4 linked regions of the Kluyveromyces lactis genome follow. The protein of the gene in region 2 purifies or fractionates together with the protein of the main gene of each other region. This does not show direct contact. Links are inferred from orthologs where the notes say so. Each region holds a gene or a part of one and is shown on either strand. Other genes may lie near its edges.

Region 1 (8,227 bases), on a different chromosome or scaffold from region 2:
TAATTTCATATAACACTTTTAAAATTAACCACTCAATTTGGGTATTCTGTACAAGTTGCAACATAACCATTGTAGTGGGGTTCTTCAAACAGGTCAAATGCAGATACAGAAAGATGGTCGGTGAAATGTTCAATCAATGGTGTAATGCTAGGAGTCCGTATCCAATGACGTTTTAGTTCTGCGTCTGATCATGCTTTAATCAGTACCGGAATTTTTGATTTATCACCGCCGATTTCCTTACGATCATCGCTGTCTGGTCCTTCAACCACCGTAGTAGTGGCCATTTTCATTTTATTGATAGGTTCTCCTTTGCATACCTTCTGAATTTCGGTACTATCTAATGTTTCGTATTCCATTAATCCTTGAGCTAATCTATGCAATTCCTTTTCCCTTTCTGCTAATAAGGCTCTCGTCCTATCTTCTGAAGCTTTCAAAAGTTCAAGTACTTCGTTATCAGCAACGTCACGAATTTTTCCAGACCATGAGTCCCACTTATCAGCCAAATTTACTGGTCCGACTTGTTCACTCATACCGTACTGAGTAACCATTGCTCTAGCAGTGTTGGTAGCATTTTGTAAATCCGAACCACAACCACTGGTAGTATTTTCCTTACCATAAATCAGTTCTTCTGCAATCTTACCACCCATGCACACATCTAACCTAGCTAGACATTCTTTCTTAGTGATGTCCACCTTATCCATTTCAGGAAGTTGGAAAGTGATACCTAATGCCCTGCCTCTTGGCAAGATAGTTGCTTTGTATAATGGCGTTGCCCCGGCAGTGTACAGTGCCATCAATGCATGCCCGGCTTCATGATAAGCGGTGGCTCTTTTAGTAGCTTCAGTGAGAACCATAGTTTTCCTTTCAGCACCCATCAAGATTTTATCCTTTGCCCATTCAAAGTGCTGCATATCGACAGCAATAGCATTTTTCTGACAAGCGTATACGGCGGCTTGGTTAACTAAATTCATCAACTCAGCACCAGAAAGACCTGGGGTTCCTCTTGCAATGATAGTTGGGTCCACATCAGGAGCAACAGTAACCTTCTTCATATGATGTCTCAAAATGTCAGCACGCCCGCGAACATCAGGTAAGTCAACATTGACGACCTTATCGAATCTACCTGGTCTTGTCAAAGCCTTATCCAATGATTCTGGGAAGTTAGTGGCACCGATGATAATTATACCGCTTGTTTGGGAAAACCCATCCAATTCAACCAACAATTGATTCAAAGTTTGTTTTGCGTAAGCTTGATCTTTGGGATTACGCTTACCTCCAATAGCATCCAATTCATCGATAAAGATAATAGCAGGGGCACGAGCGCGGGCCTGTGCAAACAACTCTCTGATACGCTTGGCACCAACACCTACATAAACTTCGTCAAACTCTGACCCTGACATGAAGAAAAAGTCAACACCAGCTTCACCGGCGGTGGCTCTTGCCAATAAAGTCTTACCAGTACCTGGAGGTCCGGTCAATAGAACACCTTTAGGTAACTTACCACCCAAGGATTCGTATTTGGTAGGATCTTTTAAGAAATCGACAATTTCCTCCAATTCAGCTCTAGCTTCGTCACAACCCCGCACGTCATCAAATCTTACATTAGTCTTTGCAACATCCACAGATTTATCGGCGACTTCATTTGTCTTGAAGAGGGTTGAATGTTCTGTAATGTATTTGAAACCTTCAGTCAAACCGTATGTAACTGCACCAAATACGATCAACCATTTTAACCATCTGGAAACAATAGAGAATGTGGATTCAGTGACAACAACATGTAGAGGTTCCTTTTTGGATCCCATGTACGGATTATAGATGCCAGAATAACCAGATGAAACACCTCCAGTAACTTGGGCAGCAGCACCGTTAGCCGATGCAGCGGAAGAAGCACCAGATGAAGCCACGGCAGGAGGAATACTTCCAGCTGGAGCAGTCGTCAACAAAGTCTGCCTCACAGACTCAGCATCAGCGTGCCTACCGATCCTTTGTAAAGCTTCCATATACAAAGCCATACATTCAGGCGATGAAGTAATACCAGGAGTTTCAAATCTCGAAACAACGTATTGCGGATAGTTCGATTTCAAGAGAAGTTTATAGAACTCCGCTTGCGCACTTGGGTTAGACAAATCTTTATTAGCTTGCTGTTCCTTAGTAGCCAAAACAGCGTGTGATACAGGTCCATTTGCCGGATCAATATCACTCGAATTAATCCCGTTTAGTTGCTTGGGCTGCTGAACATTTTCTGCACCACTTGTTGCCCCATTTACAGTGTTCTTCGAGTCCTCCGAATGCTGAGAACCTGTAACACCATTATGATCCTTGCCTGTTTGGTTCTTGTCCGAATATAATCTGTTTTGTAGCACGCTGCCTGTAAGAAAATGCTTTCTATGCAAAGTCCTTAAAATTGGCCCTGTCAAGACAGGGGCTTGACGAATCAACACTCGAGAAGCGTTCTTGGCGCACAAACCAGAAACACCAATCAACACCGGAAGCGTCATCTAGCCTTTAACACTTAATAAGTACACCGTAAAAGTGATTTTTTCAAAGTACCTGAGCTGGTATATACAACTTTTTCGTTGCTTCCTTTGTTCACTATTCTTAAAAGCCTTTTGCCTCTTTCGTTGCCTTCTAAATGACCCGAATAATCATAGCCATATATATCCTCATTCTAAAGAAAATAAAAACCTTTAAATTTGACAAATGCTCAATTTACTCAAATTTCAACATTATCAACAAATTCTTGGAAGCTGATGAACGCTCGTCCGGGTGGCGTTGCATTTCATTAGGGAGAAACTCTACGTAACAGCTGAAATCCGATTCGAAAGTGCCAGAAAAATAAAAAGGAACGAGGTCTTTTTAGACGAACATCACGTGATCAATACTCTTCTATATACAAACAAAATAATTACGTCGGCTATAGTTCGGCTACTCCTTGCCAATAATTGCGTCTGCAATCTTTTCAGGGAACCGAATGTCCAAGTCTTGGTAGTTTGTAGTGTCGTTAATCGTAAATCCATACTCATTAGCGAGGTGAAGAAGGCAGATAAAGCAGAAACTGGTTGAGAGATCCTTTTTGGCACTTGAAGTGTACATGTTCACGATATCGTGAGCGATATCGGTGAATTTCAAGTCATAGCCCTCTGCTTTTGTTGATATTTCTGCTGATATATCCTGCTTTCCCTGCTTCTCTTCGGTCAGATGTGCTTCTGATTCGATATCATTCTGAGTAGTTTCCTCATTCCGAGTAGTTTCCCCATTTTGTTCGTCTGTCTTCAGTACATGTAAACGTTGCCATATTGACTTCCACACATTATTCTTCAATTTTCTCACATCTACCTTTTTGGAGGTTCTGGAGTAGGTCATTTTATTATTTGCAACTAATCCTTGCGTGTTTACGAAATCTTCTTTTGTATCCATATCCAAATCTTCATCTTCGAAGGCTTGGTTGAAGTCAATGCCGTTATCCTCTTCAAACGATGGATTGGTTGATCTTTCTATCTGTGTGTCATCTTGCTTGTGCTCTTCTTCCCTTTCATGCAGTTGATAGTTTTCAGCCCAAAAGCGTTCGTCTGCAATCTCCGGAATATTACTCACTTCTTTGATTTCGGTATCATCAAATTTCAGGGACCCAGGTAACCTGGCTTTACTGATCCTCCTGTGTGAAAAGAAACTCATCTTCTGCTCGGGCTTAATGAAGAGCCTTGTGATTTTATCCGTTGTGAATTTATAGTCGTCCGGTAGTAAGAAATGTGAATCATTTGTTCTTTGTTTCACTGATAGATCAATGAACCCCTTTTTATTTGCAAATATTTCTTCTTCAATGTTATCATTCAGATCCAAGAAATCAATCTCAAACTGTTTTTTGGGTACCTTCTTTTCAACTGCTGGTTCATGATTCCCATCGGCTTCAGTTGGCTGCTGTGGTTTGGCCACAGACTCCTTGCTAAGTTTATCCTTGATGTTTCGTACCTTCCAGTGTTCTCTACCCCTCCAATTCTGACCTATCGCTGCGTCAAAGTAAGATAGTAACTCTTGATCGAGTACGCTCGCATCGCCATACGATTTGTCATCTATTTGTGACATATTCTGTTGATTTGATAGGGCCAGCTGTTCTTCTGGTTCGTGAATGTTATCCGCTGGCTCAACGTAGTCCATAGAACCTGCATCAACAGCAACATCCTCACCATCCTCTGGTGGCATTTCGTAGTTGAACTCTGCCTCCGCATCGAGTTCAGGAAGGGTCTCTAGATCTTTTTCTGTCAAGAATTTATCAGATTGGCCATTCACTCCTTCAACAAATGACTTTGCTTTTCCAATATCCGCTACTGCACTTTGGAGCTGATCCATCGATGGACACAATATTGAGGTTTCAATAGTATTAAAATCTAAGAATTTGACACCGAGATCTAATATATCATCCTCTAGCAATGTGACTGATGTATCTGGGGTTGATTCTACATTTTCCTCATTTGCTGAACCCTTTTCTGAATCCAAGCCAAATACCTCCGAGGTCTCTTTTGCTGATTCGCTGACTTCATTATTTTCTTCCTGAACTTGACTTTCAGTAGAGGCCAATGGTTGCGGTTGTTCTTGTTCAGGTTCAGTCGTTGTTGCGTCAAAAACAACTCGGAGTTTTTCATCAACATGTAACGTGTTTATAAGTAAGCTCTTCGCACCACCCTCATCAAAATCGGCGAGTGCCTTCTTGAACAACGGATCTATACTTAGGTTTTGTGCTAAATCTTTCAGTCGTATACTTTCAAAATCAACTAACGTCGTTTCTAACACTCTATTGTACGTCCTTTTTTTTTTCGCGAGAGTCTCTGGGTCATCACGGGCAATCGGCAGACCAGTTAAAGGATCTACCTCTAGACTGTCATCATCTTCCTCATCTCCATCATCGTTCTCTCCGTTTGTATTGGATCTAATTTGCCTCCCTTTCCGTTCTGCCAATCCACTTAGTAACTTCCCTGTTTCAGTAGCGACGGAATCGACTCTATGAGAGTAGATTTTCACACAACCGTCTAACGTCGCCGAAGCCTTCTGGAAATTAATATTATCCTCCTCATCTTTCAACACGTTCAAGTCATGAAAATAGTCAATTAATGCGAAATTCCAACTGTTTCTTGAGTTGATTTTGTTGTCCGTGGCCATTTTGATCCATTCTTCAAAGTTAGCCATCATAGTGGACTTATTCGTGAAAAGACCGTTGTCATCATCGTCATACGGTAATTGGGTAGTCATTGCTACTCCTGAAAACCTAACCAAGGTAGCTTTGATAAAGCAGCTGAATAATGCTCACAATTATCCCGTTTCCTGACTTGCCTCTGTTTTCCTGAACAGCTTTAAATGGATCTGAATACTGCGTCCCGATCCTTCAATGTTTACAAAACATCAAATAAACGTAAACATCAAATCGTGATTAGTGACTAAGTTTCCACGTGAGAAGCAGCTGCATAAAGCCTTGGTTTGAACACTTTAGGAGCATCTCAAGCGTTTCCCATGATCACATCTAATGCATCTGATTCGATTTTTGGTAAGTATAGTCATTAATGTTTGCAATCACTTCCTGGTCTACATGACTTCTTCACTTTTATTTCAACATGTCAAGATATTAGCTAGAACTTTAAAATTTGTTTCTTACATTTAAAATATCACATTAAAACATTACTAACTAGCTAGATAAATATCTACTTAATTGAAAGTTCAACAGTTAAGCTATTAAACAGAGGAAGACAAAGGGGAATTAGAGTGAATTTAAATACACCAGGCATTCTGTTCAAATTCTCTTTAATTCGCAATATTATTACTTGATAAGTTATCAATTAGTGTGAAAAGCGATGACATGATGATAGTTTGAGCTAGCTTTATCATGCAAAGGAGGTTAATTTCTACCAAAAAATATTTCTACTGACATAAAAATATTAAGTGTTGAGTTGATTTTAGATCTCGGTAACTTCCAATTCTTCAGCCTCAGCCTTTTCGTTCCATTCGGCAGCCTTGATGGCCATTCTGTGGTGTTTATCGAGTGGTGGTTGTCTCTTAACATTCTTTCTTCTTAGGAGGTTTTCTTGAATGTTAGGCCACAATTCCAATAGTTGATACTTGGCTCTAACCCTTAATGGTACATCAAACACTTCATCCAATTCTTCCAAAGTCAATTGCTTTGTTTCAGGCATGAAGAAGTAGACTAAGAACCAACCGATGACGTTCCAAGCAGCATAGAAACCGAAGGCACCTTGAGGCTCGAAGGCACGTAGCATACTTGGCCAAGTTAAAGATAGAATGAAGTTGAAACCCCACAAGACAATGGTGAAAAGAGATGCACCAATGGCACGGACGTACAAGGGGAAAACTTCACCAGCGATAACGAATGGAACCACACCACAACCGAAAGAGTAAATGGCAGAGAATACGTAAATACCCATCGAAACAACACCGATTCTTTTTTCTGTATCATCGATCCAGAAAGAAAACCCTGTAATCAAAAGGAATACTGCCAACCATGGGAACGTGTTTAATAGAAGGAATCTTCTTCCAAATCTGTCGATCATGAAGAAGGCAGGAATAGCAAAGAAGAAGTTAATTAAACCGAAGCCTAGGGAAGCACACAATGAAGAAATTTCAGTGAAACCTGATTGCAAGAAAATGGCAGAGGAATAGTACGCAATAACATTAATTGCACAGAATTGCTGCATGAAGGCACAAATGAAGGCACAAATCAAGGCGTTTCTGTTTCTTCTAACAGTGAAGATTTCCCTTAATCTAGTCCAGTAAGACATTTCCAAAGAGTTTTCTTCCATCAACAAAACGTGTTGATAGAAAAGATCACGACAAGCTAGGATCTTGTGATTTCTAATCTGGAGGGTGGATTCATAAGCTTCCTTGTAACGACCTTTACCCATTAACCAACGGGGAGATTCAGGACAGAATGGGATTTGCACTAAAACTAAAATAGCAGGAATCATAGCACTGGCTAACATTAATCTCCAATTCAACCCACCGGCAATACCAGCTCTTCCAACTCTGTAAAAGATCAAAGAGAAAACGTAACCCCACATGATACCGAAAGCAGTGAAAGTTTGCCAGTTCATACAGATGATACCACGTAACTTTTTGGTAGAACATTCAGCCAAGTAAACGGAAGTCGTAGCACTCTTAGGACCGATACCAAAACCCAACAAAAATCTCATGGCAAACAAATAGTGCCACCCTGGAGTACCAGCTGGACCGAAAGCTTGTAAGAAACAGGTGATAGCAGAGATAGCACAAGTGATGAAAATAACCTTTTTACGACCAAACATATTGTTCAACCAATCGGTAGCCCAACACGAGACACCAGCACAACATAGATAAGGTGCACCGTTAACAAGACCTTCCAACCAATCGTCCCTCTTGGATCCTGACCCTAAACCCAATTCTTTAGGGTAGAACAAGTTAGCACCATTGATAACAGTTTCATCCATACCTTGCACGGCAGCACCCATTGCACTGGCAGCGATAATAGCAATCAACTTTGGAGGGACTCTCCAAGGATGATGAATTTCATCGTAACAAGCAATACGTTCATCTTCCTTTAGAACATTTAACCTGTCGTATTCGTTTGGTTTTCTGGCCAAAGCAGCACCACGAGCGAAAATATCATCATCATTTGGCAACTCGTACTTCTTAGCAAAAGCACGTCCCATGTTCATAACCTGCTCTTCTGAATATTCAGCCAATATATTTTCTTCTTGCACACTATTCGGATCCCTTCCTTCTGGATCTTCACCAATACTAGAAATGGAACTGTCATCGTTCATCGCAACGAAAACACCACCACCGGCAGATTTCCTCTTTGCCTCATGAAAGCTGGTCACTTCTGCATTCGACAGATCAGCACTCTTCTTGGTAGATGAGTTAACATCCTCAACTGAAGGACTACTCTTAACCTCTTTATTATCCATGACTATTTTGATACTAACAATCTTTCTCTATCTGTTCAATAATATTCTGCTTCAAGACCTCTTCACGTAAATCGGTTAATGGCCTTTGTACAAGTTTTTCTAAGACAAATTCAGGAAAAACAAAACAACTTTATAATGCAAAAACTATATGAGGATAAACCCTCTCAAAACTATTATAGGTTTTTGGTTGTTATGAACCTTTTTTATATGGGAGGAAGATCATGGAAAAATATTTGACGTAAAAGTATTAACAGCCATGACAACACGATCTTTGAGAAAAG
Region 2 (7,631 bases):
TCTCAAACTTGGTATCAGGGACCAAGTCTCGTTGGGGAACTTGAAAATGTTGCTTTGAAGCTAGCATGTGTTGATGAAAGTGTTACCAAAGAGCCTTTCCTCTTCAACATTTTGGATGTCACTCCAACTTCCAAAAATACATCCGCCATTATATCTGGTAAAGTAGAATCAGGTACTATTCAACCGGGCGAAACTATCACAATATATCCATCTGAGCAGAGTTGCGTTGTTGATTCAATATTATGCGGCAATGACTCTCAAAAAGTGGATATTGCATTACATGGAGACTTTGTCCAATTGAAGTTGCATAACGCCTTCCCTGAAGATATTCAAGGTGGTGATTTGGCATCTATCGTTGGATTTGATATCCCAAGCTCCCAAGAATTTACCTCAAGACTCTTGACTTTCAGGCTGGATAGACCGTTATTACCTGGTACCTCGCTCATGCTCTTTAGAGGTGCTACAGAACAACCTTGTAGAATCAAAAAATTGTGTTGTACTGTCGATAAAAGTAATCCATCTAAGGTTTTAAAAAAGAAAGTGAAGCATTTGGGTTCTCAACAAGCTGCCATAGTTGAGATCGAGCTGGTGGAGAAAAAAAGAAGAATCCCAATGCTAACATTCGAGCAAAATAAGAAGTTAGGAAGGGTGGTTCTAAGAAAGGAGGGAAGAACAATCGGAGCTGCGTTGATCAAATCTTTAGATTATTAAAAACTTACCGTACATATATACACCATTACGTATCACCGTGTAGTAAGCAATTGCAACAGAGAGAAACGAATTAACCTTAATTTATGTAATCGAAGAATAACAATAGCAGTCCACAAATTATAGCAAACCACATGACCATGTTAGCGAGCCTATCTCCTTTCCTGTTGGCCTGTTTCAACTGTCTGTTACCTTTTTCCATTTCCATCTCCACGTCAGTCTGATTATCGAGCAATGTATTAATATTTTGTGTTTGAACCTGCAAATGTGTAGCCAATTCACTCTGTAGCGATGCAATATCTACTGCGGTTCTCCGTAGTGCCTCTGCTTTTTGTAATTCTTCGTTCTTCAAATTAAGAAGTTCTTCATGCTCTGTGGCCAAGATTTGTAATTGTTCTGAAGAGAGTTTGGACATCGTTTCCTCGTACTGTTTGATTTCTTCAACAGTTGTCGTTATCATAGGAGACTGTGATACAGAAATTTCTTCAGGTAAGTGTAATTGAGCATTGAAATCAATGGCTTCGATATGTCTTTGTCTGGATAATCGTGTCTGCTGAATGGTTGACAACCTATCTGAAATCTTCATGAGCCACATATTCAATGACTGTAATATACCCATACGAAATTGATTATTCACCTTGTGGAAACTGGATACATCGTCAATTGATCTAGAGAAAAATGGTACGGTTGCGGACCATTTCTCTAACTTTTCTTTCATCATTTCTTGTCTCTGTCTTTCATACGATTCCAATTGCTTATATTTCTCGAAATATTGCTGTAATTGAAGTTTGCTCTCTGTATCAAAATCATCTTTCTCCTGATCAGTCATGTCAGTAGCACTTTCGTACCTGGGAGTCAATTGCCTTATCACTATCTGGAATTCCATAATATGTTTCATCAACTGCTTACTTTCTTTTACAAAAGTATCCTTTACACTAAACTTTTCCTTCACCTTTTCTCTATCCTCTCTCGCTTTCGTATTATTCAATTCGTTCCTAGCATCATCAATTCCCTGAGTCTCTGCAATCACTTGCATGTACTTTTTGAAGAGCTCAGTTCTATTACTCATATTAAGGTAGTCACTTTCTTTGTATATATTCTTTTTGACACTTACTCAACATAGAAAAGCTTGAACAAGGAACGCTTATAGTCCCAGATTAGATAGGGTAAACACACACGATAGTTGCCTCTAATTGGACAGTTAATAGACAGTATAATTACCAGTAGAACGGTACCTCCTTAACCAAAGTAACCTTTGGTTAAATTTGATTCGCATTCGTTTGCCAGACCAAAGCTTCATCGAGGATGGAATTAAGAATTTAGGTAGCACGTGACATTGTTTCACCATCATTACCCGGCCATTGAAAAATTCCCACAACACGAAAACGCGTTAAGAATCAGACTACGGCTTTTAAGAGTTAAAGGCCATCTCTAGTTTAAACTCTATCTTACTTCAACCATCCTTCGACTCCTTTGGCGTTTTATCGGATCATTAAACAACCAACATTTGTCAACCATGACGCTGAGCGATGAAAACGTGAAGAGAGTTAAGCTTGAGGCTGTTAACGCGGAAGAACAGCAGTATTTGGATTTATGTGAAAGGATTATCAATGAGGGAGAATTCAGACCAGATAGAACTGGTACAGGGACTTATTCCCTTTTTGCGCCTCCACAGTTACGGTTTAATTTGAGCAATGATACTTTCCCGCTTCTCACTACGAAGAGAGTGTTTACGAAAGGTATTATTTTGGAGCTCTTATGGTTTGTTGCTGGATGTACAGACGGGAAGAAATTATCAGAACAAGGCGTTAAGATATGGGAAGGTAACGGTTCTCGTGAGTACCTGGACTCACTTGGGTTGACTGACAGAAGAGAGGGGGATTTAGGACCAGTTTACGGGTTCCAATGGAGACATTTTGGGGCCGAATATAAGACATGTGATGATGATTATAGTGGTCAAGGTGTTGATCAGTTGAAGGAGATTATTCATAAGTTGAAGACAAATCCATACGACAGAAGAATAATTCTTTCTGCATGGAACCCTCCGGATTTCCCCAAGATGGCTTTACCGCCATGCCATGTTTTCTCGCAATTTTACGTCAGTTTCCCCAAGGGAGAAGGTGCCAAACCAAGATTGTCATGTGTACTTTATCAGAGATCATGTGATATGGGTCTAGGAGTACCCTTTAACATCGCGTCGTATGCGCTACTGACGAAGATGATTGCTATGGTCTGTGATATGGAACCTGGTGAATTTATTCACACTTTGGGTGATGCGCATGTTTATAAAGATCATGTTGATGCATTAAGGACACAAATTGCCAGAGAGCCAAGAGCTTTCCCAAAATTGAAGATAAAGAGAAATGTCAGTGATATCGACGATTTCAAATACGAAGACTTCGAAATAACTGACTATAACCCTCATGGGAAGATTCAAATGAAGATGAGCGTTTGAGGATCATGGATAATTGGTATCATTTGTCTATCTAATGTATGTACTTAATATTATCTATATCATGCTCAAATACCGGAAAAAAAAAAAGATTCATATGATATGTGCCATATGCTGGTATCGAATGTTGGTATGGGACGGGTTGAATGCTGAGGTAGTTCTATCATATGCTTATTTCGTCATTATGAATTCTTTTACGTTTTTTGTTCATGTCTTCTTTTGCTCTGACACGATGTGTCCTGGATACATGTTTCAGAGAAATTCCATCTATAATTTCAAATGCTGCTAGATCTGAAGTAGCCTGTTTAGTTCTTGTCGGTTTCACGTTGCTATTTTCATTTTCATCAGATACATTTGGATCGGACGAGTTGTTTTCAATAGCTTGTTGCTTTGTGGGCAATGTGTTGAACTTGACATCTTTAAGCACTCGCGATTTAGTGTGGCTTATTGCTTTTACGGCAGTAGATGTTTTAACTTTTCTGTTGATAGCGTTAGCTGATAATTCTTTCAGAGCGATTTTAGGTTTAACGTTTTGTGCAAGGTGAATCTCATGTAATGGTAAAGCCGGTGGTTCCTTTCTGTTCTCTTCTTCCACTGTTGCAATGACGACATTTGTGTCAGGTACGCCAGCAGGCACTAAGAGTTCTTCCTGATCATCGTCATCAGACGGTATTCCCTGTTGTTGGTTATTTCTACGTTTCACTTGTAAATCATGAATATCGGTGACAGTTGTGGCATCCACCAATTTTTCAGTGGGTCTACGCATCTTAGCACGTAGTGATGGGAGTTTATAGTTGACAGCTTTGCCTCTAGTCCTTCTTTCTCGTTTTTCATCATCTTTATCGTAATCTGTGTGGGGCATAATATCATCTTGGCCACCTTTCAGTTTCGTCCTAGGATGTTTCATGGAATGTTTAATTTTCGATTGTGATGGGATTGTGCACTGGACGATATTCATTGAGTCATCAGCCTCATTGTTGTTTGTCTCTTCTCTGTCGTTGTATACATCAATTTTCGATTTCGACGTTTCCAGTAGGATATGTGAATGCTCGTGAGTTGAAGTTTCCTCTGGAATGGAATATTCAATGACTGATGTAGTGAAATTGTAAGAATCATCTTCGGCAAGTGCAGTTTCCATTTCTGTAGTATTATTTTTATTGGTATTGCTACATTCAGTGCCTGTGTTAGTAACAGATGGAAGGACCGGTACCAAAGGTATCGTAGAGACATTCTCTTTTCCCTCGTCTTCACGCTCTTCTTTTGTATGCTTGTTCTCCTGAGACTCTTCCTCAGGTACTGAGGTGGCTGCAGTACTAGGCGGCGGTTCATCCTCAGTTATCGGCAGTTGATTCAGTTCTAGTTCCGGGTCCTCATCGTTAAACTCGAAATCTGCAGGAATGAACAACGACTCTCTCCGTGAACTCTTACGCCTCCTCTTTCTCAGAGGTCGTACCTCATCATCATTCAGCTCGAGACTATTCCCGCTATTTTCATGGTTATCTTCCGCAATTGGATCCTCAAACCCAACTGGTTTCGTTGTGGTATTTGCACCAGTAAACTCCACTTTCTTCGCAGATCTCGGGCTTATACCATTCGAGCCTCTCAAAATCGGTTTAAGAGGGTTATCATGAATACCTGATTCTAAACCCTGGCTCTCCCGTACTGTGGTCAACAATTGGTTCATTTGCAAGAATTTTTCTACAATTCCGTCCTCTAACGTCTGGAAAACAGTATTGAGCTTCTCACGATAGCGCAATTCACCCATAGAAAGCCGCGACCGTAAGGAAACATTCTCTTGCACCAATTCACTCACTTTAGTCTCCATATCAGTGATTTTCATCATAAGACTGGAATTATATTTCGCAAGCTGACTGTTCTGCTGTAAATAAATTCCCTTTTGTTGCTCAAGCATAGCTTGAAATTCATCGTACTGCGAAGAAGCGCTCATGTTGCACTCTCACAAAACTTAGTAACACTATCCGCCGTCAATTCGGGTCCCTATAGACTTAGGAATCGCTCTTCTTTCAGTCAATGAACAGGTTATTTAAACGCTGAATGAGATCTAAAGCTTTGAATGTTTTCATTGTTTACGTTTTGTTCTACGATGTAAACACAAAAAAACAAGATTACCCGGATCATATTTAGTACTACATTTAATTCAAATGAGGTAAGTTGGACATGTAATGGGCAATTTGATGTTATCCAACCCTTCGTTCATTCTAAATAGCGGTGTTAATGCTTAGCGTAGCTTGTATAGATCAATCTCCCCTGATACAAGTCGGTTTTCTCGAGTTTTCTTCCTTTATTTCAATATCGGAATAATATGAAATCACGACTTTGAACTAATCTCTACAATGTGAATTCTTTCAAAGACTAGAAGAACCAAGAATTATCAGCTAAGATAGACACTTCTCGGAGCGAGTTGGATGATATATTCTAGCTGAAGAGTAAGAGGTTTGGGTCACCTGAAAAAAAGTTGTCAGTATGGCATTTGAAACCGAGATCGAGACTAAGAGAAGAGAATTGAATTATTTGAAGCATGTTTCTGCATTGACACAGAAATTAAAGGCTCAATTGGACGAGCTGAGCGTTCAGGTAGCGCAGATGAATAGCAATGCTGTGACTGTTAAAGACGTAATGGCTAATTGGGACTCGGTTCTTCGGTCTATCTCTCAGGCTTCGATATCTTTACTTCAGTATACAGAAAACGACTATGAGACTGGGAAATGGGCCAGTAAAGAGGAACATAGAAACCAACAGGGCGCTGAAGATGAAAGTGCTGCGTCAGAAAGTTCAGAAGATAACCAGCAGCGGCAACAGGATCAATTACCTCCGCTTCCGGAAACTTTGGTACGGGTGAAAGTTGCAGATGACGTTGAATAACGTTTTTATTGAATATATACATATGGTGTATAAACAGGTTTTATACTATGTACAATTAATTGGTGTGGCACCTTCTTCTATTATTGAATTAGAAAGATGTGGGACTTGTCTCGATTGTGTTAGTTGCGTAATTGATGACACATTGGTTACCGGTTTCCTCGTTGATTTCTCCAATGATGGATTGTAACATCGTAACGTCCAAATTCGAATTAGCGAAAAGAGCAACCTCTCGTTTGACGTCGCTAGCTAATTTATTAAGATCGGTTAGTCCATGGTACATGCCATCCAGGTATGAGTCAGTGATCAATTTCTCATTGGCCAAGTTGTCGATGATTGGAAGTTCGATACTTTGATGGTAGAACTGCTGCTTGAAAAAGACCCTTAAAGTTTGTCTAACCGCATTTTCATCGGATAAGAGACACCTTCTCCAGATCTGGTACTCGCAGTACTTTTTTACTTCAGTGGGTAACGTGTGATCAATGGCAAGGATACTCAATGCAAATCCATAAGAAGTATCTTGATTTAATAGTGTGAATAATTCTATCATATGCGGCACTGAGAGAGATTCTCTCCTCTTCACAGCATCGCTCAAATATTTGAACAAAGTTCGATAGGTGGTAAAGTCTTTGAATAGTGGGTTGAGAGTTGATTCTTGTAGTTCTTGGGATAGAAGAATTTGCCCATCGATGAGATCTAATTCGGTTTGAATTTCGTTTAGCTTTTCAAGATCTTGAACTTCCGCGGCAAGAGCTGTTAATTTGGCAATACTCAATTGTGCCTGTCTTTGTTTCAAATCTTGACCCAGCGATTGAGTTCCAGTAGAAATACTCAACAAAGTTGTAGTTGCTTCGTCGTATTTATGGCAATATATGTTTCCAATCCATTTAACTTTGCCATACTCGGGACATTCTCCTAAGAACTGGTCCAAATATTCTGAATGGGTTTCACCAAACGATTCGTAAAGATCATCCCATAGCCCTTCCTTGATATAGTAGGAAAATAAGGATTTTGCAAAGTCGTATCCGTATTTCTGGAAGAATTCATCGTATAGAGAGAATGCGGTAATTTTTGGCAGAGATTGCAAAGTTTCAACTAAGCCTTCAAAGTCTTGGTAAAAATCTGTGATTAGAATTGAATCCTGAGACCTGTTAACATCCCTAAGGACCCTATTCCAAAGTAAATGATTTTCTTCGAAAAACTGTTTATAACTAGAATCAGTAATGGCATTTGCATCAATCCACATGGTTATTTGCCTGACCATATAAAATAGAGACTTAACCAATAGCAGTAATTCCTCTACAAATTCTGACACAACGGCAAGATCTTCAGAGGCATGCCTTAACAAGAAGAAGATGTCATTAAGATTTTCTATTATGCTATTTGTTGTGAACCAAGGGATATTTTTTGATACATCATCTGGGCTCATCTGGAAAAGTCCATACCTGTAGCTGTTTTCACATTCTTCTAATATGGAATGATAAACTAGTTGATTTATAAGCTTTGCGATCTGAGATTTTAACATAGTTTCATTTGTGGATTTCATTAGGTCTTTCAAATGCTTCAAAAAGGCGCCCAATAATTCTGGAAT
Region 3 (6,544 bases), on a different chromosome or scaffold from region 2:
CTGGCGAAAAAAAACTGGCCAGAATAATTGAGAATAAAAAAGGAAGGAACCAAGCTGAGGTACCGCAGAAACTTATACCCTCAGTGTAGTTGGAACCCTTGCTGTTGAGCTGGTGCCTTGGTTGTCATCTTTGTTTGCCGTTTTTAAGGGGACGATTGCTATTACGAATTGTATCATTGTATGTACTGTGTTGCAGAGAAATAGTCTCAATTTGGGAACAATGTCGTAATGAAAACAGGGGAAAACTCGGCTGGTTACCCTGATATACAGTTTGTACGTTGTTTTCTGTGAACCTTCTTTGATGGTTCTTAGCAGGAAGAAAATACTCACGACGTTTTTGCTAATTATTTCATTGCAATCCCGTGCGGAGCTAAAGCATATCACAAAGGAGACATAGAGAGTTTTGCGATGGGTTAATTCAGGAATTTAATTGGACTCTCAAGTCATTAGACGGTGCTGTCCATATACCAGGGTAATCGTCAGAGATTATGGGGATTTTAGGCTCTCCTATTTATCCTCGCTTTCTCTTTTCATGTTCTTGTACGGCCGGTACAGACAAAAATGATAGAGGTACAGAATTAAGCATAATTTCCCTTTTTGGTATTATTACTTGCTTTGCAATAAACAAACAAAAATATAAGTCACGTGATTGAACTTATTCCCCAATCAGGAATAATGTAAACATCATCGAACAGCACTATCACAGTGATTGTATTCAGTTGTAGAGATGGATGGTTCTGGCTCTCTCACCAAACTTTGTTCGGTGTATGTTAACAATTCACAAGGATTGAAGTTAGATGTACGGTATCTGTTTTGTCATTCAACAATCTACAATTGAAGGGAAGTTGAGGGCATAACAAAGAGTAGGTATTAGCAAGGAAAGCTATCGATTGAATGACTCAAATATACAACTATCAAGAAAGTTTCTGGGACGAAGACGATCAAGGTGTTACCGTTCTTCTTCAGCATGTTGGAAGAGGTATATGCACCTGTGAGTTATTGCTCGATTGTTTCACTAAGAGAAGTGAGTTGGAGATGGATTATGCAAGAAGATTAGGAGCACTCAGTGCAAGAATAATGAACAATCTCGAACGATATGCGGACTACAATAATATGTCTGAATCCTTAAAATATTTCCAATCCTCCCAGCAGACAATAGCCAATGGTCATTCTAAGGCATATGAGAGGCTCAACAGGGAAAATGTCGGTACGATGAGTGATTTCTTAAAGCAATATAGAGCCAGATGGTCAACGATAACGGGAAACGTGGAAAACTTAAGGAAGTTGAAAGATGAAAAGAAGAAAGCCTTGAAATCTATAGATCAAGAATTACTCAGTGCTGAGAATAAACTGAGAGAGTATCAGCTCAACAAAGAAACTGCCTTGGGCGAATACCAAAGGAAAGAAAATGCGAGAGAATTGGAAAAATGGTCTTCGATAGTGGAAGAATCACACCGTAGGAAAACCGTCTTACATCATGAATGTAAAGCTGCTAGAGCACATTGGTTTGAGGAATGGAGACATATTAGTGGAGAATTGCAAAGTTTAGAAACACAAAGAATCCAGGTCTCTAGGGAATTACTACAACAATACGCTGATTTTACAACCCAGCCTTCGGAACTGGAACTCTCTTTGATGGAACAATTAAAACAAAAACTTTCCAGCTTCACACCTGAACTTGAAATATCGCACTTTTCTTACCACCATGGTACTGGAAGAATCAAGTTGAAAAACTCTAACTCAGTTTCAACGCACAACTCAAGTGCTAACTCTAACCCATCTAATGTGATCCGTCCGAAGAGTTCTCACAAGGCGTTGGATTTAACAAAGAATGATAGGTATGTTCAAAATATAAAAAGACTATCAACCCAGCTGAAGAACACCAGGCTCAATTCAATAAATGCATTAAGTGTCGATAAAGGGTTGCCAACTCCAAAAACTGATGCTGCCCTTGTTAATTCCATAGAATCGAAGGTCCTAAATGATAACTCTGCTCCGCATTCCGTTGAAAACTATTTAGAAGTGGTTACAAAGCCAGGACATGGAGCAACATTATCAGAATCTTCAGAAGAGACTTCTTCAAATCCAACGGACTTTACTCATAGGAAAAATAAGGCAAGTTATGATTCCATGTCGACTTCTCTCTCATCCATGGCCTCAAGTGTCGATGACTCTCAAAGGTTTGCTAAATCTTGGAATTCACGCAATAGAAGAAAATCTAGACCTTCATCAATGTATTCGCCCACAATGGATACGGATACTTCTGACAACGACAATAACAACTCTCTGAAGCCACCAACTGCAAATCGTAGAAAATCCATCGCATCGGATGTCGAAACAGCATTAGAAATCTTGGAAATGAATGATCGTCCGATGACATCAAGAACGAGCTCTGGTGCTTCTAGCAACTTAACTGTGAGCAGAACAGTGTTGCCTTTCAGCAACTCTTTGAATATAATGCGTTGTAAACGTGTGACTATTGATGGTGAACAATTGAATCTACCCATCGTTGATTCCATGAAAAATCCAGTCGTAAAATATGTCAAAGCGATGTATTCGTACACTGAACCCAATGAAAATAACATACTACTTTTCAATTCTGGTGATATCCTGCTGTTAGTCGAATGCATAAATGATGACTGGTATGTGGGTGAGGTATATCAAGGTAACAAACAGCATGGTCTGGTACCAATGAATTACGTGAAAGTAATAAATTGATGTACATCACTTTCACCTTGGACGCTTTCCTTTCTGACCATTTTCACCCGTTAAATAATGAATTTGTAACCATATGTAACCAATATAAAGTTCTATACTTATATATAATTTCTGCTCTTCCAATAGACATCAAACTATTAGCAAATTGAAGCTGAGCAGATAAATCTGTACTTTAAATGATAGGAAGGATTGCTTCAAATAAATTGACCTCGTATCCTTCTAGCTAGTTGCATGTCCTTTCTCATAATTGTAATTCTTTTAGCATGAAGTGCCAATAGATTTGTATGCTCTAATAAACCGACTAAGTAGGCTTCACTTGCTTCTTGAAGAGCCATAATTGCCATGGATTGCCATCGAAGAGGTTCGCTCTCGGTAGTGAATTGATCTGTTACCTCTTTCACTAGCCTCGCAAAGGGCATTCTGGATATAAGCAAATCTGTGGATCTTTGATATTTCCTTATTTCTGCCAAAGCTAGGTCAGTAGGTTTATATCTAGTTCCCCGAGCCTTTGTTATTCTTTCATGTGCGCTGATATGATGCTCTGGAGGGTGAATCTGCTGGCTGCTAGCAGAACGCTCGGGCTGGATGTATCTTGCTTTGTCTTCACTTCTATTTAACAACAAACGTCTTCTTCTGTTTCTCTGTAATAATTGTAGTGCTCTCTGATTGATCGATTCACGATCTATAAGTGAAGCGCCAACATTGCTCAAAGATCTAGAACCGTCTATGCTCCTGATAGACTGTTCCATTATGTATCAATCTCTTTTCCGTATGGTCTTTTGCGTGTCATAGAACTAATTTCAATGTTTCGCGTGTCATATTCATCATTGAGTAGGCTAATGTTAGCTAGATAACTGTTTTCATTATTTGAAAAATTCAAAAAGTAATAGAAGATAAACAAGTTTATACTTTGAATTAGCTACTTGGATAGGAAAAGTCTCGTCATTGACCTAGCAACTGTAACTCGTATTGTTACGATAAATCGAGCACTTTGTTGTATTGTTAGAAACCATTTAGCAAAAATGGCACCATTAAGACAAGACAGTTACTTCGTATGTGCGGTATCCAGATTGTTCATTATTCCGAAAACATTAGTTATTTAAACTACTAAGATAACTTTACTAACCGATCCACTCACATTACTACATGTGGTACTTTTGTCCAGATAATATATCCAGGATCCAATAGGACTTTGGTTCAATTTGGTATTGGAGAAGATACTTTGCAGCCGCCTTCGATTTCTATTCCAACAAAAGTTTACAGAGATGCAAATGGTAACTTTACATCCTCTGTTACTGATGTTGTTATCTGTCCCATTGTGAAGGGAAGCATTGTCGATATTGATGCGTTCCAATATTTTCTAAAGTTGATCTATAAATCTGTGTTAAAACAGGAGAGTGACGATAGTCCAATCGCTTGGGATACAGCTCTTTCTAATATTCCATTTTTGTTAATTTCGCATTACTCTTGGACTCAATTCCAACAAGAACTACTTTGCAGAACAGCTTTTGAAGCAATGAAATTGAAGCATTTTGTTATATTACCTAGCTCGTTAGCTAATTCATTTGCCTATGGCTCTTTGCAAAATTGTTTGATCATCGATATTGGCAAGTTTCACACCGATGTTGTACCAATTATGGACTATACACCCTTAACCTGCTTCATAAGACAGATTACTTCCGGTGGAAACTCGATAAATAAGAATCTACAGAGAGCTTTACCAAATCTCACCGAGTCCCAAATTGAGGATTTAAAAAGGTCGGATATATACGAAATTTTGTCCCAAGATATCATGGATCAATACGCTATCGACAACGAAGATGACGAAGAAGGTACTTTAGATGTGGCTACAATTGTTACTAGTGGGCGTGATACTCGAGAAATTCTAGAAGAGCGCGAACGAAACAAAAACAAAGAAAAACTGGACAACAGCAAATTAGAGACAAATGACTTCTTTGATACTGATGGTAATCGTATTACTGTAAGCAGGCAGAGATTCACAGGCTATGAAGATCTGTTGAAGGATGTCTCGAAAGCTGTAGGACAAGCAATGAGCCAGATTGATGACATAACCAAGCTTAAAGCAATGTGGGAAAATGTCATTATTGTTGGAGGGACATCACATATAAAAGGGTTCAGGGAAGCTCTTCTATCACAGCTGCTAAAAGACCATATAGTTAGTGAACCAGAAGAGGAACTGTATAAAAGAGAGGTGGATGCTGCGGCTAAATTAGATTCTAAACAGAAGAAAATTGGGAAGGTTTCCACTGCTCCAATCTTAAATCAGATTGAATATGTGCAGCCACCAACTACCATCATGACACCAAAGTTCCCTGAATATTTCTCGGAATGGAAGAAGATTGGTTTCGCTGATATTACCTTCTTAGGCGCCCAGATCTTAACAAAGCAAGTGTTTGGGCATTCTAACAATTCATTCTATGTCACAAGGGAGAAGTATGACGAACTAGGCCCAGAGGCCATCTGGGAGGTTTCTTTCTAAATAATTCTAGTACTTTTTCAATATATAAACGTATACAGATATCCATTGTAATTTCAATCAGCAAATGCAGTTCAGAGTACCGTACATTTAGAAAGTGCCCATCAAACTTCTCTAGAGCATTGAGCTATGACTCTTACTAGAATTTTGATCATTTGTTTGTTCTAAAGATTTGCTCGCTCCGGGAAAGCATTCTAGATCCACTTGATATTGGTCTTGTACCCAGCTTCCCGTTATTGTTTTGTTTTTGTCTCTGTGAGGTAAAACTGGACCTTCTTTTAGTGAGGAAAGGAGTTTTTGTAGTTTTATACCCATTAAGTTGTGTTTCGGCTTCCTGCTCAGCTAGTAATGCCGCTTTGTTAGCAATGGGATTGATTGATGTTTCATTATTAGTGAATCTTTCATTTTTGCTTTTAATCGCTGAAGTTAGGGAATGCAACCATACCAGGGTATCTGATTCGTCCGTTTGAAATACAAATGTTTTGAATGGCGTCTGTACAACGAAGATATCTTTCGAACTTGTCTTCTTCTCTGGTACAACCTCCTTTATGCGAACACCTAACTGTGACAAATCTATCTCATATTCTAGATCATAGAAAAGGTTTGAATTTTGATTAATTTTGTTTTTTCTAGCAAATAAAAGGCACCTTCCGAATGTCGTTATTACACACATTCTTTTAATATATTCTGATTGTGCGATAAATTCTGCAGGTGCATCAGGTGCCTTTGAAAAGAAATGTTTCAATTTTGACATACCCTCATGCGAAGCCTCATCTGCGCCAGATTGCTTACGATAGCTCGCTTCAACATTTTCAGGATCAATCAGATACTCACTATAAAAGTCATGCTCAACCAAGTTTGAGTTCTCTTGACGAAAGCCAGTTACATTTCCGCCTCCTCTAACAACTTGAGTCAGTAGAGTATTTTTTTTCTGCACCCTTCCGTCTGCATCTAAGAGGGAGAGCTTTGACTTGCTAATCTTCGCTTCAAGACTTTGGTTTTTGAGCGTGGTAACATTGATCTCCCCCATCTTTATCACACGTTCTTGTATATTTTTTAAGTAGTACGACCACATTATATCTAATTTACTCATTGGAGATAAATCGGACGATATTTTTCTGATATTAGAAGACGATGAAGGAGGAGCAGACTTGGATGATGATGAATTTGTACTTGCACTGCGGTTGGAGCCACTAGGTTTCCTTTGACTTCTTCCAGAACCCGCAGAAGAAGTTGAAGATTTTGCTGTCGTTTCATTTAATGGTTGCTTAATTTGCTGAAGAGCTGCTGCTGCTGCTGTTGCAGGATTAGGAGTGATATCACCTTGGC
Region 4 (8,273 bases), on a different chromosome or scaffold from region 2:
ACTTGGAGAATGTGCAAAAATTCTTGCAGTACTATGGTTTGAATGAAAGTGACATTGTTCAGGTACCAAATAAGGATGACCATCACTACTTAGAGTCAAGAACCGTTTTGCAAGCCTTCGTCGAAAATCTTGATATTTTCGGTAAACCACCAAAGCGCTTCTACGAGAGTTTGATCGATTTTTGTACTGACGACAAAGAGAAGAGTAAGCTAGAAAACTTAGTTTCTGCTGCCGGTGCTACTGAATTAAAACGCTTACAAGATGTCGAGTACTATACTTATGCCGATATCTTCGAGTTATTCCCATCAGCCAGACCATCGGTTGAAGATCTTGTGAAAATAATTGCCCCATTGAAGAGAAGAGAATACTCTATCGCATCTTCTCAAAGAATCCACCCTAACGAAGTCCATTTATTGATTGTCGTTGTGGACTGGATTGATAATAAGGGAAGAAAGAGATATGGTCAAGCTTCAAAATTCATTTCTGATTTAGCTATCGGTTCTGAACTTGTTGTATCTGTGAAACCAAGTGTTATGAAGTTGCCACCATCTCCAAAGCAACCAGTTATTATGAGTGGTTTAGGTACTGGTTTAGCACCTTTCAAGGCTATCGTAGAAGAAAAATTGTGGCAAAGACAACAAGGTTATGAAATCGGTGAAGTCTATTTGTATTTGGGTTCTAGACACAAGAGAGAAGAATATTTATACGGTGAATTATGGGAAGCTTATAAGGATGCTGGAATTATCACTCACATCGGTGCCGCTTTCTCCAGAGATCAACCTGAAAAGATTTACATCCAAGATCGTATCAAAGAAAACTTGCCAGAGTTGAAGACTGCAATGATTGACAATGAAGGTTCCTTCTACTTATGTGGTCCAACGTGGCCTGTTCCTGATATCACTCAAGCTCTACAAGATATTATTGCTGCAGATGCGAAGGAGAAGGGCATCAACGTTGACTTGGATGCTGCCATTGAAGACTTAAAGGAAACTTCTAGATATATCCTAGAAGTTTACTGATTTTTTTATGTGTTTCGTTGAATACTGTTTATTATTTATCAATCTATTTATTTTGGTATATGAGAATCATTACATAACACTAACTACTGATGTACCATCTTGGAACCTAGTTCTAAACACCCGGTTAGCGTTAGTGAACATACCTTCTTTCAACGATACAACGATAAATTGGGAGCCTTTAAACCTGGTTTTAATAAGATGACCAATGTTCTGAGTATGACTTAAATCTAATGCGGCATCCACTTCATCCAATATATACATTGGTGCAGGTTTGAACTGCAACAATGCAAGGATCAATGATAACGCAATTAGGGAACGCTGTCCACCAGAGAGTTCTACCAGACTCTCTTTCCAAATTTTACCTAATTTAACTTTAACTTCTAATCCCTCGGTTACATCTTTACCTTCTGAAGGTTCCAATTTGGCGAATGAATTCGGGAGAAGATCGCCAAAAATATTTCCGAAATCTACACTGACTTTCTCCCATGTTTTTATTAAAGTTTCTCGTTTGTATTCGTTAAGCTTTTCGATAGTTTCCTGAATTTTCTGCTTATCTTTTTCAATGGTTTTAATCATTGTTTTCAATGCCGTTTCCTTTTTCTCTACACTCTCAATCATACTCATTACCTCTGGGTTCACCTTCCTTCTTAAGCTCTGAAAGCTTTCGGCTAAATCGGAACCACGTTTCTTGTACTGATCTAGATTAATGTTCTTATTCTGTGTCAAGATGCTATTGACCATGGAAGTATCTTCCAACCAATCATTTTCGTTGATTAAATTTTCAATGGCTTGATCGATGCCAAAAGTGTTATTCTTGTATTTATGCAAGTCGTTTGTAATCTTCTGTAAATCCACTTCCGAAGTTGAAAGTAGATGGTTCTTATTTTTAAGCAATAACTCTAGTTCTGATATCTCATCTTCCATTCCTGAAAGTCTGGACATTTCCTCTTGTAAAATACTGTGTACTTCGTGAAGTTCAGACTTTTTGGTCCTCACAACGCCCTCGTACTCATTACACGTTGTTTCCAGTTCTGCAAGCCTTTTCTCTGCAATTGATACTTCATTTTGGGCGTTAGAAATATCTGTGTGTAGCTGTTCTGTGTCAAAACTCAAGTTCTGATATTCATCAAACAGCTTAGCCGTATCAGTGTCTAATTTTTCCACTTCTGCAGAGACTTCAGAGAGATTAGCTTCTAACTGCCTGAGCTTTGAACCCTTGTCTTTATTGAATTCTTCCATATCTCTTTGAATGTTTATTATCTCAGTTTCGTATTCTTTGGTCAATGATGTCAACTGACATATGTGCATTTCACAGTTTTTCAATTGAGTTAGAATTTCTTCATTACGGTTAAATAGCTGCATTGCGTTGCTAGCATGTGCATTCTTCTCAGCTAACTTAAGCTTATGTGTGGCTAAATTCAATTCGGATAACACATTTTTTGAGTTTTCAGCTTTCATTTGCTGGTCTTTGATTTGTGAGCCGACTTCCTGCAAATCGTTCTCAACTTGTTTGAGCCTCGATGATGCATGATTATATTTCTGAATATCAAGTAGTAGTGAATTTGAAGAATTCCTACTTCCTCCTGAAAGTGTTCCTTCAGGATCATAGACATCACCTTGTAATGTTATGCTTCTAGATCTGATTCTTGGATTAAATGTAATTTGTTTGGCAGTCTCAGCGTCTCTGCAAATGAAACTTGTTCCAAAAATGAATTCCATGGCTCTCGTGACTTCTTCCTCAAATCCAATCAAGTTTATAGCTAATTCCACTTTTCCAGGAGCTAATTCTTTTGCTAAATGCAAGATGGACTCGTTGATTCTTCGTGACGAAATTTTGTTAAGAGGAATGATTGTTACACGTTTGCGTAACCTACCATGTTCCAAAAGTTGTGAAGCAGTTCTTTCGTTATCTACCACAACATTGAAAAGTCTTCCACCTGCACAAACCTGCAAAGCTGCAGAGCTATCAATGTTTGCTTCGTCAAGGGTAAACAATTGTCCGACAACTCCCTTAACAGACGAGACATCAAAATTCTTTGAAGGTGGAACATAGTTGAAGTCCAAGTTTGAGACCTTCCTATGCAAGGATTCTGTTTCCTGGCTCAATTGATAGTGTGTATGTTTTAAGGAACGCTCATTATCCTTTAGATTTTTCAATAGTATTGGATCATAACCATACTGTTCAAGTTGTTTTTCGAGATTATTACAATGATGTTGCATGTTTTGTATTTCTTTATCGTATTTTTCCTTTTCAGCCTTGGCAGCAGAAATTTTGGGAGTATTTGAATTGAGCTCTTCTTTAAGCATTTCCACTTCCATTTCCTTCTCCCTTATTTCAATTCTAGTGTTTTGTAACTTCTCTTTGATGGTGGATAGTTGAAAATTATATCCATTTGCAGTGGTACCGGTAGACGAGATACCAGTCGTTAGAGTTGAGAGTAGTTCTTGCTTTTCTTTATGAATGGCTTTCAGTTCCTCAAGTTTCTTGTTTTGAATATTGTACTCTTTATATTTCGAGTCATATAGAGTTTTCTTTTCCTGATGCTGTTGTTTCCACCTCTCAATATTTTTCTTCAAGTTACTGATCCTTACCTTTTCCTCGCCCGAATCTTCTAATGCGATATTCAAACTTGTTTGCACCCTTGAAAGCTCATTTGAAATTTCAGATTCTTTAGTTTCCAATTCCGACATTCTACCACCTAACTGAACCTCCTTATGCCGCTGTTCTTTTAGAGCGTCTAAATCACTTCCCAAGTTCTCGACTTCGTTCTTTAACCTAGAAATTGTATCCTCCAACTCTTCGAGTCTACTTTGACCAGAATGTAAACTTTCTTCTATATGTTTCTTTTTATTTGAGAGTTGACTGAATTCAAATGCATTTACCACTCTCATCACATTTTCTAAATCAGATTGAGTCTCTTGAAATTCTAAATACGTTCTCTTTTCATTCCTGAATCTCTCGAGTTTTGGTTCAATTTCTTCAGTCAAAAGAGTTCTAATTTCTTGTAATTTGGTCTCCTTCTTAGCCATAGTTCTTTCTGCCTTTTCCCGTCGATCTTCGAACATCCTTGTTCCAGCGGCTTCTTCTATTAACGAAAGAATCTCCTGCGGCTTCATGTTCAAAACCTTGGTAATTTTACCTTGCATGATCAAAAAGTTCGGGTTATTAATATTCAATTGCACCGATTGAAACAACTGAAGCACGGTTTGTTGCTGGGCCCTATGACCATTGATCAGATATTTACTGACTCCGCCGAGTATGATTTGTCTAGTGATTGAGATTTTCGCATGCGATTCAAATCCAATTGGTGAATTACTGGTATCGCTATTATTAAATACGATGGTAACACTGGCCTTCGTTACCCCAGCCTGACCTCTCTTGTAGATCAAATCCTGTAAATTTTGAGCACGAACGGTTGCCATTGATGAAATACCCAACACAAAACATATCGCATCTAAAATATTCGATTTACCTGACCCGTTTAAACCAGTGATGGCGTTGAATTGAGGATCCCAATCTGTAATGACAGTTCTTGTGGCGTATGACTTGAACCCATCGATGATAAGTTCTTCCACTTTCATTGTGATATCACCGGGTTATCTAAAGCAGCAGATATGTAACCTCACAGCAAGCGTTGACAGGGTTGGATTCACTTTTTTGACTCGCCTTTGTGTTTGTTTTGTTGATCTCATCAGGTCTTTTGTTTACATATTTCAAATCTTTATTTATGTTGAAATTCTCATAATCAAATCTGCATAAAATAATGAGGGAAGACAGACAAAGGCAAAACATACATTGCAGAGACGATGGGGATCTTAGTGCTCAAAAATAGCCTGTGATAATATGACGAAAGGATGAAATGATTAAAAAACGGTATGTAGAAGTAGTTTACTAATAATTATATTGAAATTTGAAGCTTTGTATACTATTGGAATCCACATCGTTCTTCAGACACAGATTTGAAATGACATTTAATAAAATTATTTTTATACAACAATAAACCTAAACATATGGAGATTGTTTAAATCTAATCTTGAGTCTTTTGAGAACCACGTAACAAACCAGTTCTTCTGGCAGCGATCAAACCAGCCTTTTGACCAGAAACAGCACCTCTGGAGATGGTAGAAGCCTTACCAATATGTTGATGGTTACCACCACCGTGAGGGTGATCAACAGGGTTCATGGCAACACCACGAGTCTTTGGCCAAGAGTTTCTCTTGACTCTGTACTTGTGGAAAGCACGACCAGCCTTCAACAATGGCTTGTCGATTCTACCACCACCGGCAACAACACCAATGACACCTCTGGCATCAGAAGAAATGATCTTCTTAGCACCAGATGGTAATCTAACTCTGGTCTTGTTGTCTTCTGGGTTGTGACCAATAACGATAACGTAGTTACCGGAAGCTCTGGCCAAAGCACCTCTGTCACCTGGTCTTTCTTCGACGTTAGAGATGATAGTACCTTCTGGGACGGAACCCAATGGCAAAACGTTACCAACGTTCAAAGAAGCCTTCTTACCAGCGTAAATGAATTGACCGGTGTGGAGACCTTCGTTGGCAATGAAGGTTTCTTCACGCAACTTGTACTTGTATGGGTCACGGAAGACAACCTTAGCCAAAGGAGCACCTCTACCAGCATCGTGGACGATTTGCTTAACAACACCACGAATGTAACCGTGACGTTCAGCGTAATCCAAGTTTCTCAACTTGGCAGCACCTTGTCTCAATCTGGTGTGAGAGGTGAAGATAGAACCAGCACCCTTTCTTTGGTTTCTAATAACTCTACCTGTTTTGAAACTGACAATCGACAATGGATATGCAAAATGCTCATGCCATTGTTGAAAGATAATTCTTGTTAGTATAACTGAAAAATTCTTATTATAATTGTTGAAAAAACATCTGAACCACATCTGAATCGACACTCATTATAATTCCAGATCTATCATTGATCCCATGCCAGCTATTGTCGTTTCTTCCTCTGCTCTCTGTATCGTTTAAATCTCTTTTTCCCAATGATATTGACGTAATAATTCCCAATCATCTTCTTTGGTAGATTTAACACATATATTGCATATCGCTAACAGTAATTCAATCATCAACTCTCAAAACATATCATATTCGCTCTTTGCATTGTTTAATTATGGCCGGTGTGTGCCTGGTTAACATTATTCTATATTTCATTATTCGTTCTTAAAATGATGGCCATTTCTTTAATTCAGTGCTTTCAAATCCTCATAACTCTATGTCACCGTAATAGACATACCCATTGTTTACTTCGGTTTGGTTGGACAGTATCAGTGCAATAAGAATAAAGTGTAACACAAAATACTATTGCAAAGCAGTATTACCATATAGTTTCAATGAATGATCTTTAATTCTTTCTTCAATAACTATACCTACAATATTGAAAATTCACCATTTGCCAGAATTGGTCCATGTACTGGAACCGAAGGGGCTGGGCAGAAACTCTGGTCCCAGCCTAGGCATTGGTTCTGTGAATCTGAATTCCAGCCTGGAGGGAGAGTTTCCTGGGCAGGACTAGGAAAGCCGGACAGAGAGACTCTGTGTCTCAGCTCCCCCTGGCAGAACGGCTCAGTCTTAGAGGAAAGGAATATCGGCAGGGGGACGTCTGCCCAGGACACCCAGCCTTACCACAATTGGACTGCCTTGTGTAAGTTTTTCTGAAAAAGTTTATGTGTATTACCTTAAACAGTAATAATGTATAACCAAATTCCAAAAATATATAAAATACATTGAGGTACGGATGTAAGGTGGAACAGTCACATAATCTGTTATTGTGTACTTGCTGATGTTGAATGTGTCACTAATGAATTTATTGACTGATTGACTGATCGCCCGATGACTGTTTTGTTGCATTTTACGTAGAAAAGCATGTTGTTTATGAAACCATAGTTATATAATTGATAGAAGTAGTAATGCTAGTAGTATGTGTATTAGGCTGCGACCTGTTCTACAGGTTGTTGAGATTCTAATTGAGACTCTGCATTTGAATTAAGTAATGGATTGTCCTGCGATGCTGTCACACCATCTTCCTGGTCGATAAGCGGTTCGGCATTGGCCTCGGGCTCCACCACAGCACCGTCATTACCGTCAGCTTGTGGTTGAGGATTTCCCTCGATAGGAATTGCCGCAACAGCATTAGCTGTATCAGGTTCATCTCCTGTTACCCCAGCATCTGCTGGGATTTCGTTGTTGCCTTCCGCGGACTCTCCATTAGTGTTAGCACCCGCCTTCTTCTCTAAAGCCCTTTGCACTTCTTCAATCTTTTCTATAAATGCGTTCTTCACGTTTATCTGTTTGCCCCTAAATTTCTCTTGTGTTGCAAACTGTTTCGCATCGTTTAGCCTGAAGGCATCGGGGAACGTTACCAAGGCTGCTGTGAAATGGCGATGGAAAGTGAACCCACGTCTATAAGTTCTATTTTTAAATACAACAATTTCTTGTGGATCAAATCCTTTGAAATATTCACGTAGCTGATTATCAGTCGTATTACGAGGAATGAATCCAATGAATGCAATGGTCTCGGAAACAGGTTTTTCTGTTATCACAGTGGTAACGTTCCCAACGTCAGAACTTTCAGAATTAACTGGATCAACCGTCACTATCGGATTGGCATCGGCATTGGCACCGGCATTGGCATCAGCCGCACCAGCAACAGCTTCTGAAACTTCCGTCTCATTGTTACCAGTTTCTTGAACATTTTCAGTAGAAGCTTCAGGAATATCTGCTTCAACAGCTGGCTCCTCTCTCTTTTTTCTTCTAAATGGAGTCAACCTGTGCTTCCTAGATTTCAATTGTTTAACAAGAGGTTGTTGTTCCAGCGCGGATGCCACTTCTGGTGCTTCCGCAGGAGTATCTGAGGAGGCGGATGGATCAGCACCTGCAGTAGAGGAAGCAACCACAGCCACTGATGATTTTCTAACGATTTGAACCTTATTAGAATCAATTGGAATATGCATTCTTAAATTCAAATGCCTTTCCATGAACAATTTCCCATTCAATTCTTGAATAACCTTATTTGCATCTTCTTCATTGGAAAATTCAGCATATGCAATCCCAAATGGACGCACTGCTTTATTCTTCAAGCCTCTCACAGTTTGACTTGGGATCAATACAGAAATGACATTGTAGTCTTGCAAATATTCATATAATTGATTCTCACTTGCTTCGAAACTCAAGTTCGAAATGTATACCCTTGCGTGCGACGACATTGATGTGATGTTAATTTTT

What was found.
Region 1: the proteins of SGO1 (region 2) and BRN1 purify together in Saccharomyces cerevisiae (affinity purification with western blotting; 3 studies listed by BioGRID, with this or other methods). This does not show direct contact. The link is inferred for Kluyveromyces lactis from reciprocal best matches to the Saccharomyces cerevisiae genes SGO1 and BRN1.
Region 3: the proteins of SGO1 (region 2) and CSE4 purify together in Saccharomyces cerevisiae (affinity purification with western blotting; 3 studies listed by BioGRID, with this or other methods). This does not show direct contact. The link is inferred for Kluyveromyces lactis from reciprocal best matches to the Saccharomyces cerevisiae genes SGO1 and CSE4.
Region 4: the proteins of SGO1 (region 2) and SMC2 purify together in Saccharomyces cerevisiae (affinity purification with western blotting; 4 studies listed by BioGRID, with this or other methods). This does not show direct contact. The link is inferred for Kluyveromyces lactis from reciprocal best matches to the Saccharomyces cerevisiae genes SGO1 and SMC2.

The regions. Positions count from the first base shown.
Region 1 is NC_006041.1:606,999-615,225, forward strand, and holds BRN1 (condensin subunit BRN1), read right to left. Parts: upstream 5,245-8,227; coding exon 2,926-5,244; downstream 1-2,925. Other genes in the region: i-AAA protease YME1, read right to left, coding at 189-2,498; KLLA0_E06755g (sugar porter family MFS transporter), read right to left, coding at 5,943-7,946. UniProt on the Saccharomyces cerevisiae protein: Regulatory subunit of the condensin complex, a complex required for conversion of interphase chromatin into mitotic-like condense chromosomes.
Region 2 is NC_006037.1:696,402-704,032, forward strand, and holds SGO1 (Sgo1p), read right to left. Parts: upstream 5,109-7,631; coding exon 3,324-5,108; downstream 1-3,323. Other genes in the region: ribosome dissociation factor GTPase HBS1, read left to right, coding at 1-711; UFE1 (Ufe1p), read right to left, coding at 788-1,777; CDC21 (thymidylate synthase), read left to right, coding at 2,225-3,163; DAD2 (Dad2p), read left to right, coding at 5,645-6,043; NUP133 (Nup133p), read right to left, coding at 6,132-7,631. UniProt on the Saccharomyces cerevisiae protein: Plays a central role in chromosome cohesion during mitosis and meiosis divisions by preventing premature dissociation of cohesin complex from centromeres after prophase, when most of cohesin complex dissociates from chromosomes arms.
Region 3 is NC_006039.1:1,061,767-1,068,310, reverse strand, and holds CSE4 (centromeric DNA-binding histone H3-like protein CSE4), read right to left. Parts: upstream 3,468-6,544; coding exon 2,913-3,467; downstream 1-2,912. Other genes in the region: formin-binding protein HOF1, read left to right, coding at 895-2,718; ARP9 (Arp9p), read left to right, coding at 3,741-3,770, 3,884-5,218; serine/threonine protein kinase PKH1, read right to left, coding at 5,367-6,544. UniProt on the Saccharomyces cerevisiae protein: Histone H3-like nucleosomal protein that is specifically found in centromeric nucleosomes. Replaces conventional H3 in the nucleosome core of centromeric chromatin that serves as an assembly site for the inner kinetochore.
Region 4 is NC_006040.1:1,345,404-1,353,676, forward strand, and holds SMC2 (condensin subunit SMC2), read right to left. Parts: upstream 4,602-8,273; coding exon 1,089-4,601; downstream 1-1,088. Other genes in the region: MET10 (sulfite reductase subunit alpha), read left to right, coding at 1-1,019; KLLA0_D16027g (60S ribosomal protein uL2), read right to left, coding at 5,048-5,808, 6,286-6,289; RRT5 (Rrt5p), read right to left, coding at 6,977-8,254. UniProt on the Saccharomyces cerevisiae protein: Central component of the condensin complex, a complex required for conversion of interphase chromatin into mitotic-like condense chromosomes.